Drosophila melanogaster: one gene and its partner. The gene in region 1 interacts genetically with each later gene. Each region holds a gene or a part of one and is shown on either strand. Other genes may lie near its edges.

Region 1 (8,025 bases):
TTGTAGGAGTTCACCACGGGATCTGTGTGCAGGCCAACAATCAGATAGTCACCCAGTTTCTTAGCCTTTTCCAGAAAGTCCAGGTGACCCACATGGAAGAGATCGAAGGCGCCAGCCACATAAACCTGCAAATACCGACAATTATGAATTATACATTATATACATATAATGAGGGCTAAACTTACAATCTTATCGCCGGGATTCGGTGACTTTCCATCACTGAACTGTATGATCTTTTGGGTAGTCGGCAAGAACTGACTACAACCGGTCCACGGACTTTTGGCTGCCGAATCTTGACCCATGTTCGAAGAACCTGGATGGGATTTTATTTGTCGTTTTAAAATTGACACTTTTTTTGTTTGTTTTGTATTGTAAAGCAACGCAGACAAATGAGCAAAAGTGTGTATTTAAGAGCAAAAATTTACGTTTAGGATTTGATTTCGATTTGGATTCGGATTTGGATATTTTGATTGCAGGTTGGTCATTGGGCATTCGGCATTTGGATTCATTTCGCGGGCGCGCACACGCACAAAACATTTAGCATAGTTTTCATAGGTTTCATACATTATATTATATTTTTGATAGTGGTTAACAGTGCGTACATAGAAATAAAAAGAAGAGAAATAGTAAAGTTGTAGAGGGCAACCATAAACCAAGGCGTTATTTGCGTTCAACTATGGCAAATTAAAAAGAATCTATTGGGGAAAATGCATAAACTAATCGTGCGTAGCCCATGTATAAACTGAATATATCTGTATAATATTGTTCATACTTGTAACTGATTGATCGACTTTGATTTATGCACAGCATGCAAGAGCAATAAACAAGTTCGACAGCAGGAAATGAAAGACAAAAAGAGTGCAAACAAAAAGTAGTCTTAAAATTAAAGTTAGTAATGGTTAGAAACAATGAATTTGGCGCACAAATTCACAGTGCTCGCTGTGATTTAGGAACATTAAAATGAAAATAAAATGTGCCAGAAAAGCGTTGGAACAAGCTAAAGCTACCTTCTTTCTCGATATCATATTCCGCGGATCCTTGACGGAAGTGGTTGCGTGTCAGGAGCAACATGCGGCCCACAAGGTCAGTGGTCGAGACTCCAGCTGTGCGTTTCACTTCCCTGCGGATTGCATAAGAAAATTTAAGGTCAGTAATTGGAAAAATGTGCAGTACGTGCTTTACAAGACAACTGGCAGCTTATTAAAGGTTAAGGCAAGATGTACATAAGGTAAGTGTGTGTGCATTCCCTTTTTAATAAACTGCCACATGTCTTAAAAATATATCTTTTCAAACTCACTTGTAGCGATTGGCTGATTTGACCAAATGATATGTGTCCACTCCTTCGGCTGTCATTGTAATGTCATCTGCAAACAAATACACTCGATTGAGTAACATCCAGATATATGCATAAATTTGTTACCCACCTCCATGCACACAGAAATCACAGTTGTTCTGGTCGAGCACATCCAGTGTGGTCACATACGGAGCACCGAGCACCACCTCATCCACCCATTTGATGCCCTTGACCATCTTGACGCGCTCCTCCTCGGTGAAGACCGGTGGTCCCTTGTGCTTGGTGATCTCCTCGTCGGTGTGAATGCCCACAATTACCTTATCGCCAAGAGCCTTGGCTTGTCGCAGAGAATTGGCATGTCCGAAGTGTACCATATCATAGCTGTTGAGGATGGAAGGAGGATAGATATGTCAGTACAAGAATAGATACATTGTTTTTTTTTTTTTTTATCAAGCGCGTGCCAGTGAACAAGCAAACATGACCTTATTAGTTACCTCCGGAAATGTTGTCTGCCATTCGTGGAAGTTTAATAAATTCTAAGATAACTAAGACTGCAACGATTGCCGCGAGACCTTGACAAATAGCTAATGGAAACGATCTTGCCTCTACCAATATGACTCAGAAAATGGCATATATTTCATAAAATTAGCAATTTTTCAAGCTCGCAAGATAAGCCGTGTTTAACTTCGAGACTTGCCAAAAAAAAAAAAAAAAAAAAAAAACAATTATCGCATGGAATGTGCATACATACATACGTATAATGAACCTTAGGCCCAACAAAAAAAAACCACTTGTCTTGACGCTCAGCTGGAATCCTGGTCATTTAGTTAATGGTGGAAGCTAGGTCGAAGCAGTACTGCTAATGACCCCCAGACGATAAAGTAATAAAGTGGTTCGAGCAAGCCATTTACATAGTTTACATAAACCGCTGTCGAAGCGCGTCAAAGATGTCTGGTCGAGTGCTTTTAATGACCAGTAGCTGACGGACTGACCACCGGTGACTATAGAGGCGGTTTGTGTGCTCCACTTTTGCCCAGCATTGGTCAAGAGATTGATCTTTGGACTCGATCATCAGAGTGGGTATGCCAAAAATGCCGAGAGAGAGATGGATGAAGCAACCGGGACAGGGGATATCAATAAAACCGCATTTGCTGCTCGTTGTTTTGCAATTCTAATTGCAATTATGAACGCTGCTGCGTCAGCTTTTCAGTGGCCACATATACGCAAACATCGCCATTCAGCTTGTTTACATTCTCCGCCGATTCTAGGCATTATGGTTATAGGCACACGTGCCCTGGCCTGGTTTTTGTTTGGCTTGGGAAAGCGATAATAGCATCCGGGGGACGTGAGGCGTTGCACAAATTGCACTTAACACCAATTATGAAGGTATTTATTTTTTCCACCATAGGTACATTGTAATTGTAAGTATTTATAAAATAATTCATATTGAAACCTGCTCTTTTGGAAAATGATTCACCCAGCGGGCTTTGTGCAAACATTTTTTAACATAACATGCAAAAGGTAACCACTTAACTAAATGGCGGGTGATAAGAAATAATACCGTCACCATCGACGGTTTCTTCGGTAATCGATTGTGAGGAGTTCATTTGAAATAGATAGACGGAAAGTATTTTAAGTACTGCTTCCATTGAAGATTAGAGAATTCCCAAGAAAATAGTTGTACTCAAAACAAACTGGATCTTTAACTGAAATGAAATTTAAATGAAATGCAATGCCCCTGCATGCACGCCTAAAAATAAAAGATGGATTATGCCAGCTAGTCCCTTGACTTGCCCAGATAGTAACAAATGCGGAGAGATGACCACCACCATAAAAAGCAGCTAGTAAAAACGTGGGCCATTCATTAATCGAAGCGAAACCTTTGCTCCCGGAGATTTTTTTGCAGCGCACCAAGAAATCTGTGCCGAACATACTATACCCATATTAGCATTGTTGTACTCTATATGTAGAACAGACCCAGGGGCCGCTTAATCAATTGAGTGAGCTAAAAGCAGCGACAACACCAGCGACAGCAACGCCGACGCCCGTTTGCTGATTAAAAAATATCACGCGATTCTCCGTAGAATTTGTGCTCTGTCGTCCGGACCCCAGAGCCTAGTAAAGTGGATTGACTTGGTGGGGTAAAGTATGCCATATACATAGATCTTATACTACAGCACACATGTACATATATGCCCCGCCTTAAGGCCCCGGACTCTCTTATTACGAGAGCTTCCCATTCATTTGTTATTTCCACTGGCAGAGGTTCATTGACTTGGGTGGAAAGGAGGAGACAAGCCAAGCACTTGTGCCTGCGTCAATGATCAATCTCTGCTGATTAGAATGATTTTTGGGTCCAAGTGCCCCACATACATACGTGCTTTCCCCATCTGATGGGTTATCAGATTCCATCAGATTCCACGCAAATATTATGTTTATACTTGTTGTTCGTGCCCATGAGCAGCTGATGTGGAATTTCAGCGATTGGAGCACGACTACGTAGGTCGTTCTTATCTGTCGCAGCTAGAGGACTTCCACACTGGTGACAGGGAGCTGTGACCCGTTGACAATGGACATAAGGGAGCATAGACTGCCAAAATTACCCGGAAATGCCAATGAGCATGATGTATATGTTTTAGGTTTAAATCCATAAATTAGGTGACATTTTCTAATCTTGCTTCAGGGCATTCGCAATTGGATTCTAAAAGTTTTGCCATATGTATGTTTTTGCTTAGGCAGAAGTATACTATAAGATTGAACCACCTCTTAATAATAAATGGATATGGTTTAAAAAACCCTTTTAAAATAAAGACGATCCCTTGCGATTATTTAGTCAGTACAGGAGAGGCCCAGCGAAATGCCAATTAAATTGGGCACACAAAAGACCGCCAGACGATGACGACAGCATTGTGGGTCAATGGCGAGGCAATGGCAATGATGGTGGTGCAAAAGGGGTGTGGGGTCCATCGCCGAGGCGGAGGGCATGCGCATGCCAGAATCACGTGATGTTTGCGGACGGACGACCGGCGGGCAGCCACAGTCAACAAGGGCCACGTAAACGCAGCCCTCATCCGAAAATCTGAAGCCTCAAAAACAGAAGAGCGGAAGGAAAGGCAGGCTGTTCAGATACAGTGGGTTAGCCAGAGCACATGTATATGGCACATATATGTATGTACATTTGCTTGTTGGGCGTGTGCCATTGTTTATACGGTGAGTAGAAATACAAGGAAATAAGAGAAAGAGCGAGGGCGCATATAAACAATGGGTATATTTTTATTTTTACCGACTGGCGGTAGCCACAATTGAGGAAATTTCTATCGTCCCCCAATGAAGCAAACTTGTTATGGTAGGCCATCTATCCATCCGTCCATATCGCAGTCTAACGCGTCATTACCGATAAAGATAAACCGGTTTCTGATGATGCATTGCACGGAATCAAATAATTATATATATATATATATATGGGGGAACGCAATGCCTATAGAACCATTTGATGGTGCCCAAAACAAGGCAAAGTGCGTCAATAGTATCTATATGCGGATCTAAAATACATAGATGCATTAGATGAACCGAACACCCGGTTTATCACATATAGCAATTAATTATTGTGCAAACTAATTTGGGATATATGTATTGTTGTTAGCTTAAGCGCCATAAAGAGTGCGAGTATCGCCGGAAAAGGCAAATTAAACATTTTCTCTGAGTAATCTGTTTTAGAATAGCCACTGTAAGCGTACAATTATAAATAGATTGCATAGCGTATAAATATAAATATAATGCCAAATGTCCCGGTCAAGCGTGGAGAATATGGACATTTCGGATCCGAGAGACCTTGAACCTGAATTATGTAGACATTTCAGCCGGACGACGGCAATGGGTGGATATTTGGAACGGGCAGCGAGACGGCACCGTTTCACAAAGATTTGCTAATCAATTGAGGAACCCTGGACGCTTCTTAGCACGCCTAAAAATGGGGTTTAGTTTATCGTCGACTGATTACGGTTATTGGTATTGGAAACCAAATTGGAATTGAAATAGTAGGGTTCGGTTGGCCGTGGTGTGGCATGGAATCGATGGCACCGACGCGGAATGGTTATGCTTTGACTCACTTTACCGTTAGCGGTGAGTAACGACGTGACGCAATGGGCTGCCCTAAGAACCGTTAGACATTGTGGACCGAATTCCTGGAGGCCCCTAAATGTAATGTAGATGACTCACCATCCATCGCACCAGACGCGCACATCCTTCCGCTGCTTGTCCGAATACCCATTGCAGGCGCTGGTATCGCCATTTGCCTCCATCGTTGACTTATTGAATTTTCACAATTTAATTTAATTTTAATTTAGAATCCGGCTAACGGGCGAACATTAGATTCCGGAGAGTATGTTTCTGTTTTCAGTGCTCGTTTTGAAGGCGGAAACTCGACGACAGCGACGTTCACGCTTCGAGAGCTGTAAGTTATTTGTTCTGAGCTACGACGACGCCCGCTATATATCAATTCCCATTTCACGACCGAGCTACTCAGTTCAGTTTTCGTTATCGGTTTCGGACTCGGATTCACGTTCAGACTCGGAGCGGAATTGGTCTCAGATTCTCAGACTTGCGTTATCAGCGCGCGGGCGCATGGGAACTTCTTTGGGGCGTAAGTGCGGTGTGTTTAGCTTGGGTTTTTTTTTAGATTCTTTCATTTCTTTTCTCACAATTTCGAGTACCGTGAGAGCAGAGTGGCCGCATCGGTGTTTGTCCAAATATACCATATGCCTGGTGCGATGAATACCAGCTAACGCGGATTTTGTAAACATCAACAGCTGATCGAGATATATTGGGAATAACTTTAAATTGGCAAATTTTATGTTACTAAGCTAGAACTTTTATATTAAGCAAGTACAAATCTGTATTATTATACGTTAAAAGGGTATTAACTCTATTAAATCCTTATGAGTCGATCACCCCAATGAAATGTATAATATTTTAGGATATAACAAAGTGTTTTGTTTATAAATAAATGTAAATATTGTCACAACAATTATTAAAAAAAAAGTGTCATAGAATTAAACAACGAACACTACTAATAACATTCACAATTAAAATTTTTTTTTTCATTTTAAAGGTATATTTTATTGATTGATCCCACTGTAAAAATAATACCGATGGTATTTTAAGAGGCATATTGGCCATGGCGATGTGAGATAATACTACGGTGTTTCCCACGGTCACACAGGATAAAGCAACTTAAAATATTAAGCCTATCAAATAAGAAATATACAACGCACAGCACGCAGATATACGAAAAATAACAATCGAAGGAAACCGACCAAGCCATGATAATGTAATCATGATCGTCCACAGTCAGTTCGGGCATTGTTTTGTAGACAGCATCAAGTATATTTTTTAAATTTCACGTGCTAAATTTACAAGAAATCCTACCACAATTACTAAACGAGTCGACGAGGGCTAGATAATCCCAATCCCATTCCCCGTACCAACGCGATGTCCAGAAGAGAAGCCAGCCTGATGGCCTACGTAGCGGCGGAGGAACACCTACTGAACCGGTACTCGCCGCTGGAAGGCGACGAGATAGATACGGCCAGCGAAGCTCCAGGCGACGCATCGGACGTGGCTGAGGATCGGGAGTATCCCACGGATCTTGTTGCATCTGTCACCAGATCCTCGAGGACGGGAGCAGATCTGGACCCCGCCGTGGACAGCAACCTGCACGTGATCTCCGACGACTCGGACACCCACAGCTTTATCTCGAGTGGCAGCGGCTTCAAGGGCTGGCCGGAGGAGCAGCCGTCTTCCAGTTTCGTCCCTCAGAATGAACCCTTAATATTCGGACTTCGCCGGCAAATGATGATGACCGAAGAGACACACCAAGCCCCAGTATGGGCCACCTGCACACCGGCAAAACGTTCGTACAGCAGCCACGAGGTCATCGAGATCAACGGTTTGTTAATCTGTTCCATTAACTATACAAGGAAATCTCTTCCATTTAATTGATTATGAACATTTATCCCAATTGAAAATATGAAATATCTAATATGGTAAACTCACTCAATCGCATACTTTTCTTGTTTTTTAGACTCACCCGAATCTGTCCAGGATCCGGGCATTGCACTAAGCCCCGGCATGCTGCTGACAAATGGCAATGTTGACCAGTTCGAAATGCTGTCCCACGAGAATGATGAGGCTGAACATGAACTTCAGGTGGCCGAAGAAGGGGAGCAGTGTGTGATCTATGAGGCTGTGGATGGAGAGAACATGGTCGTTTTAGGAGAAGAACACTGCTGTGAGATCATAGTAGCTACCCAGGGAGTGGCATGCGAGCAGGAGTTCGCCAGGGCCATCATGATGGCCGGAAACGGTACCGGTGCATTGCTGGGCTTGCTGTCCGAGGAGAGTGATGCGAATGAGTGTCTCAATGGGACTGCCTACATCGAGGAGGTCGTGGAGGATATGGGTGTGGCCGAGGCACGATTGGCGGCTGGAAACAATGTGTACCTTAGTGATGCAGCGCTAGAACAGCCTTTAGTGCACCAGGATCTGGTCGACGACGAGGCTCCGGAGGAAAACGAAAACGCCACATTCTTAGACGATACACCGATGGAGGAGGAACGCCCAGATATTTGTCAGGTGTATGATCACGAACTGGAGGACCACGACGATGAAGAATGCGAGGACGCAGTCATCCAGGAAGAACCAGCCCAGCCTATCGACATTGTAGCATTCGA
Region 2 (4,807 bases), about 10 Mb from region 1:
ATAATTGCTACGATTTGACCTTTGGCGAAGGACCTATAAATAGGCAGCTGTCTGCTGCTTTTTCATAAATTGTGGGCGGTGGTGCAGAAAAAGCTGATAAGGGTGCGTGGGCTGCTGGGTTGGTGGCCCGGTGGGTGGTGCAATGCAGTGACAAAAAGTGGAGCACAGATAACGGCAATTGGCTGGGCATTTTAGATTAGCGCGGGGTTCGCATGGCGATAAGATAAATGGTAAAAGGATACTGCGAGTAAGCAACGAAGAACCCGAGTAAAAATAGAGTTTTCTACCGGTCTTACCATCAAGCTGTCAAAACAAATTAACATGGGATGGATTGGACAGGCAGTCATTACCCATTACCGGGTCCAAACAAACCCGCCAGCGAGCAAATGGAGCTCGCAATATGATTCGGGTTCGGATTCGGATCTATGGCAACATCTGTGGAACCCACGCACGTAATACGGGCGAATCGCGTAGAAAATGGCCAGGAGGCTCTCGAAGCTCACGAATGGGGAAACGGTTAAACTTTTTGGCGAGCCGGAGAGTGGAAAACTATGAGAGCGGAAGGATGGAAAAGCGGAAAAGCCACACATGCCCACAGCTCTCTCTCTCTCTCTCTCTTTCTGTTTCTGTTTCTGCTCTCTTTACTGCGCACATAACCCAGAGAAGGCAACAAAATAAAAACTCGGAAAATAGCAAAGGAAATAAAAAAAAAAAGAAATGAACATGAAGGAAAATCCAAGCTAGACGTTGGAGCCCGACATTGCCTCAGGCCAGAAGAATGCCTGGCGGAGAAAACCAATTTTCCACATCATTATGCTTTTCGCTTTCATTGAACAATCCGTCTCGATGTTTTCAAAATCAAATATAGACTCCGTGCAAACAATTCATTCATATTCTCGAATTTCACACAAAAGGATTTTCGGGCGACGCGAAGGGTCAAAATTACGCTGCCGTTCGGGCCAACTTGATTATTGGCAATTATGTGCGGCCTGCCGAGCTTGTTTGCAGCATTTTTATTGCTATGCTTCGGCAATGCCCTTAATAGCCTGCCCTCCGAGGAATTCCAGCCCAACTTCGGGCTGTCCAAAGCTAATTAGCGAAGAGCAGGACTAAATCAGGTTTAGTTCTTATTAGACGAAGATAAGAAAGGACACGATGAACAAGTGATGTGTGGCACTGGGCAGAGAATTTGGCAGTCTGGCAATTAATCAAGTTAATAAACCCAAAGTATTTCAGACCTTTTGGGTTTAATTGGTAAAGGAAATTCCTGCAAATTTTTGTGAATCTATTAATTAACTTGATTATTTAGATATTAATATAATTCAAGATGAATGTTAACCATGGGAAATGTTTGTATCTTAGAATAATAAGCAATCACATTTTCTCTGATAGCTTAGAGATTAGTTTTTCTTTAGCTGCAGCAACCCTTTAGTTATGTATGTTTCTCCATTCACTCTATGGACTGCCCCAAAAAGTGTGCTACGTTCTTGTAAATACCAACACTCACCCCCTAATCAGAAATGCTGCCAATGTTTCTCCTTTCCAATCAGCAATTGGGATCCAGACTAGCGTTAATAGCTCGGTCGTTTTTGGTACTTAATTCGCTTGTTTATCGTCCGCTTTATTAGTTAGGATGATGGGTTTTGAGCAGCGTTTAACGAAGCGTGACTCCTGCGAGGGGAGCGGGGAGGGTCGGCAGCAGTGGCGACTATTTGGCAGGAAGGATATGGTGATGCGGGTCCTGGCGCTTGTCGATGTATGTGTGCTGCTGCTGCTGCCTGATTTATGTTTTTGGTTTTTTGTGACTGGCTTTGGCTAGTGAGGCCGCGGCTCGCTAGTCTCACATGAATTTCGTATACTTTTTTGGATAATTTGTAATAAAATTAATTGAAATTAATTCAATTTATTTAGATTTATTTGCATATATTTTGCAGTACAAAGGATGTCAGCGGAAAGTGAGGAAGAGAGAGAGAGAGAGAGATATAGAGAGAGAGTGAGTGAGAGAGTTGAAGAGATACGCAGCGTATACGTAATAGCAAAATACAATGGTGTGCGTAAATATTGATAGAGCGAACTCGGCTTTGTGTGTGTGTCTGTGTGTTGTGTCTCCTTGCCCAAAAGAGCATGTGTGTGCGTGTTGGTGAGTGGGCAGAGAGAGACAAAAATAGAGAGAGAGAGAGAGAGTGGGAGGTTGGCAAATTCGCTTTTTCCTCGAAGAAAGCAAATTCAGGATAGAGATTTTCTTAGGGCCATTTCTTTCGTCCTTTTCAGGGCCTCTTTTGGCTTGAATTGAGCTTTCCTTTTTTCTCTCGCACTCAGACACTTCAAGTTGATAGTTAAAAATCTCATTTCAATTTTAATTTTTTATTATTTAATTATAGGGCGTTGAAGGACTGCGGATTCGGATTTTCCGAATTCACATTGATATGCTTTTTAATCCTGGCTTTCGACTGGCCTACAGCACCACAATAGTCGGGTGGGAAAAATCAATATCCCCGCAAGTGGCTCACATGCGTTTTCACTTTCAATGATAGCCCATTTTTCAGCGCTTCTTTCATCTTCGCATTGCACATTGGAATTTTCAATTAAAATTTTCTTGCTTAGCTGCCATTTTTTCTCGACATTTGCTGCGAAAAATTCTGATACACAAAAAATGTTCTCCTTTTTTGTCAGCGCGTGCTAAACACTCGCACACACACAGTCGCATACACGCACCCACACCACACACACATACACACGCGCACTATACATTTCGGGGCTTTCGATGGCCTTTTCATTTATATAACAAATTGGAAAACACTTTCAACACTTTTGCTTTGCTTTCAACCAATTCTGTTTAATTTTCATAATTTTTTCATCACATTTTTGAATGATTTTCCATGGGCATTGCCACTTTTTATGAGCCTCTAGAATTTTTCTTTCCCATTCACCTTCAGCCTAGCGCTTTGTACTTCAGCAGTCAACTTCCACGGTCGATGTTCATTCGCGTTTTGGCCCACACGCTCCAGGAGCAGCGCTGAAAAGCTTGGGCCACTCGCCAAAACGCGAGAGCGAACCGGTTGGGGCATCGATTTTGGCCGCTCGGCCAGCGGGTGAGCGGGGCGGTGTCCACCGTGGGGGGAGCTTTTGGGCAGCGGAAATCTCGGAGGGGAAGACTTTAGGCCAGCTGGACATGGCTGAGCCCCTACGTCTGTATGATATGCAAAGGAGGATAATCATAAAATAGGCACTACCATAAAATGCATCCTTCATAAGTAAGAGTTGAATAACTACTACAGTATCTCATGTCTAGTACCTTTACATACATATTTTCAAAAATCCCTACTATATCTCTCTCTAGATTTTCCCAAAGGAGGTAAACATCTGACTGGGAATCACATGTAAAGTTGAAAGCTCCTTCAGAACCTGTTCGCAGTATGTTTTTTGGTGCATGCGTACTGGGGCGGAAGTGTCTCAATGGCACACAATGTTGCCATTTGCTGTAGAGCAAAGCTTTTCTGTGCCAAGTTTCACTTTCCGTACTATTTTTCCTTCGCCTATGAAAGCTGAGATTTGCCATGTAAATGGCGGCACTGTATCGTATATTTCACAAAAAATCAAAACAAATTACTTATCTAACGATAAGCCAAAATAGTATGACTGTGAAATTAAATCTTTTTCAATAGATCCGATCCATCCAGGCAATTTATTTGGTTTTGGAAATGCATTATTAAAAGGTCGTGCCTACTTTTGGGCTGACAAGTCCATCTTAATGACATGTCAGCACAATAATTATGAAATATAATTTAATTAATACTTTGTCACAAAAATAGTTTATAATCGTGATTTCCCCCTAGAGAGTAGCTGAGTTTTTACATGCAATGAGGATATATTTTTAAATGTTTTGAATAAATATACTATAGGAATACAAATACATAGTAAGTTACTATTAGTAACCTAAAATCAAAGCAGATACGATCTTAAATCATACTTCTTTGAACAGAAATACTTATCGACTTGCTTTCCTATGAGTTATGTATTTATATCGGGTGAATCATTAACAATCCTTTACGACGCGCAAATAAATCACGATATTCGATAGTGCTGGTCACCTTCACGCCTCAATCAGGCGGTTGGCCATACTCGGGGTTCGTGATTTCCCATATCGTTTATCTTGGGAACCCTCGCACGGCAATCGGTAATCGCTAGCGAAGAAGTTAATTAAACGGCCAGTCCTCGGGCTCAAATCGATCGAGATCGATCGCGGATGATTGATGATTGAAGCGAAGAGCGGAATGTAAACACGCACTCGCTTACGCACTTATCACTATCAGTTATCAGTGGGAAGTGGACAGGGAGCAGCAGCTCTTGGTCGGTGGTCACTTGAACTTGCTCCCAAATGGCGATAAGCGAGGCGGCACGCGCTCGATCCGATTTGGCCGTGGGGCAATTGCATTATTGGGGTTGCTGTGTCATCGAGACTAATCGATTTGAATTGGGGCAATTGGCATGATTGCTTTGGTTTGGTTTGGGGCAACTTTGATGAGGTAATGCGAAGTTTCCCACCCCCAAAAAATAGTGTTCTTTCCGCCTGCATCACCCGATTAGACTCGCAATCAGCGAATGTTTGGTTTTTTCCTATGTTATGTTTCTGATTCCGTGTGGTATCAATCGTTTTGGTGGTCGAGGTTATGGCAAGGCTACACGTGCCACCTATAATGGCCATTGGTTTTATTTGCTTTGCATATGTGGTTTATTCGGCACTTGCACCTTATCAAGTGCTTATACTCACAATCCAGATGTGCAATAGGCACAACTGAAGTTCTCA

What was found. Genes that interact genetically often act in the same process or in processes that back each other up.
Region 2: of Pect (region 1) and Syt1, changing one suppresses a phenotype caused by changing the other (phenotypic suppression), as found in Drosophila melanogaster (one study listed by BioGRID).

Annotation. Positions count from the first base shown.
Region 1 is NT_033779.5:13,201,760-13,209,784, reverse strand, and holds the start of Pect (phosphoethanolamine cytidylyltransferase), read right to left. Parts: upstream 6,024-8,025; 5' UTR 5,596-6,023; coding exon 5,513-5,595; intron 1,676-5,512; coding exon 1,425-1,675; intron 1,365-1,424; coding exon 1,298-1,364; intron 1,121-1,297; coding exon 1,008-1,120; intron 350-1,007; coding exon 186-349; intron 126-185; coding exon 1-125. Other genes in the region: CG16972 (uncharacterized protein), read left to right, coding at 6,785-7,241, 7,377-8,025.
Region 2 is NT_033779.5:2,796,979-2,801,785, forward strand, and holds the start of Syt1 (synaptotagmin 1), read right to left. Parts: upstream 3,002-4,807; 5' UTR 2,931-3,001; intron 1,859-2,930; 5' UTR 1,508-1,858; intron 1,344-1,507; exon of another isoform or gene 854-1,343; intron 1-853. UniProt on the Drosophila melanogaster protein: May have a regulatory role in the membrane interactions during trafficking of synaptic vesicles at the active zone of the synapse. It binds acidic phospholipids with a specificity that requires the presence of both an acidic head group and a diacyl backbone.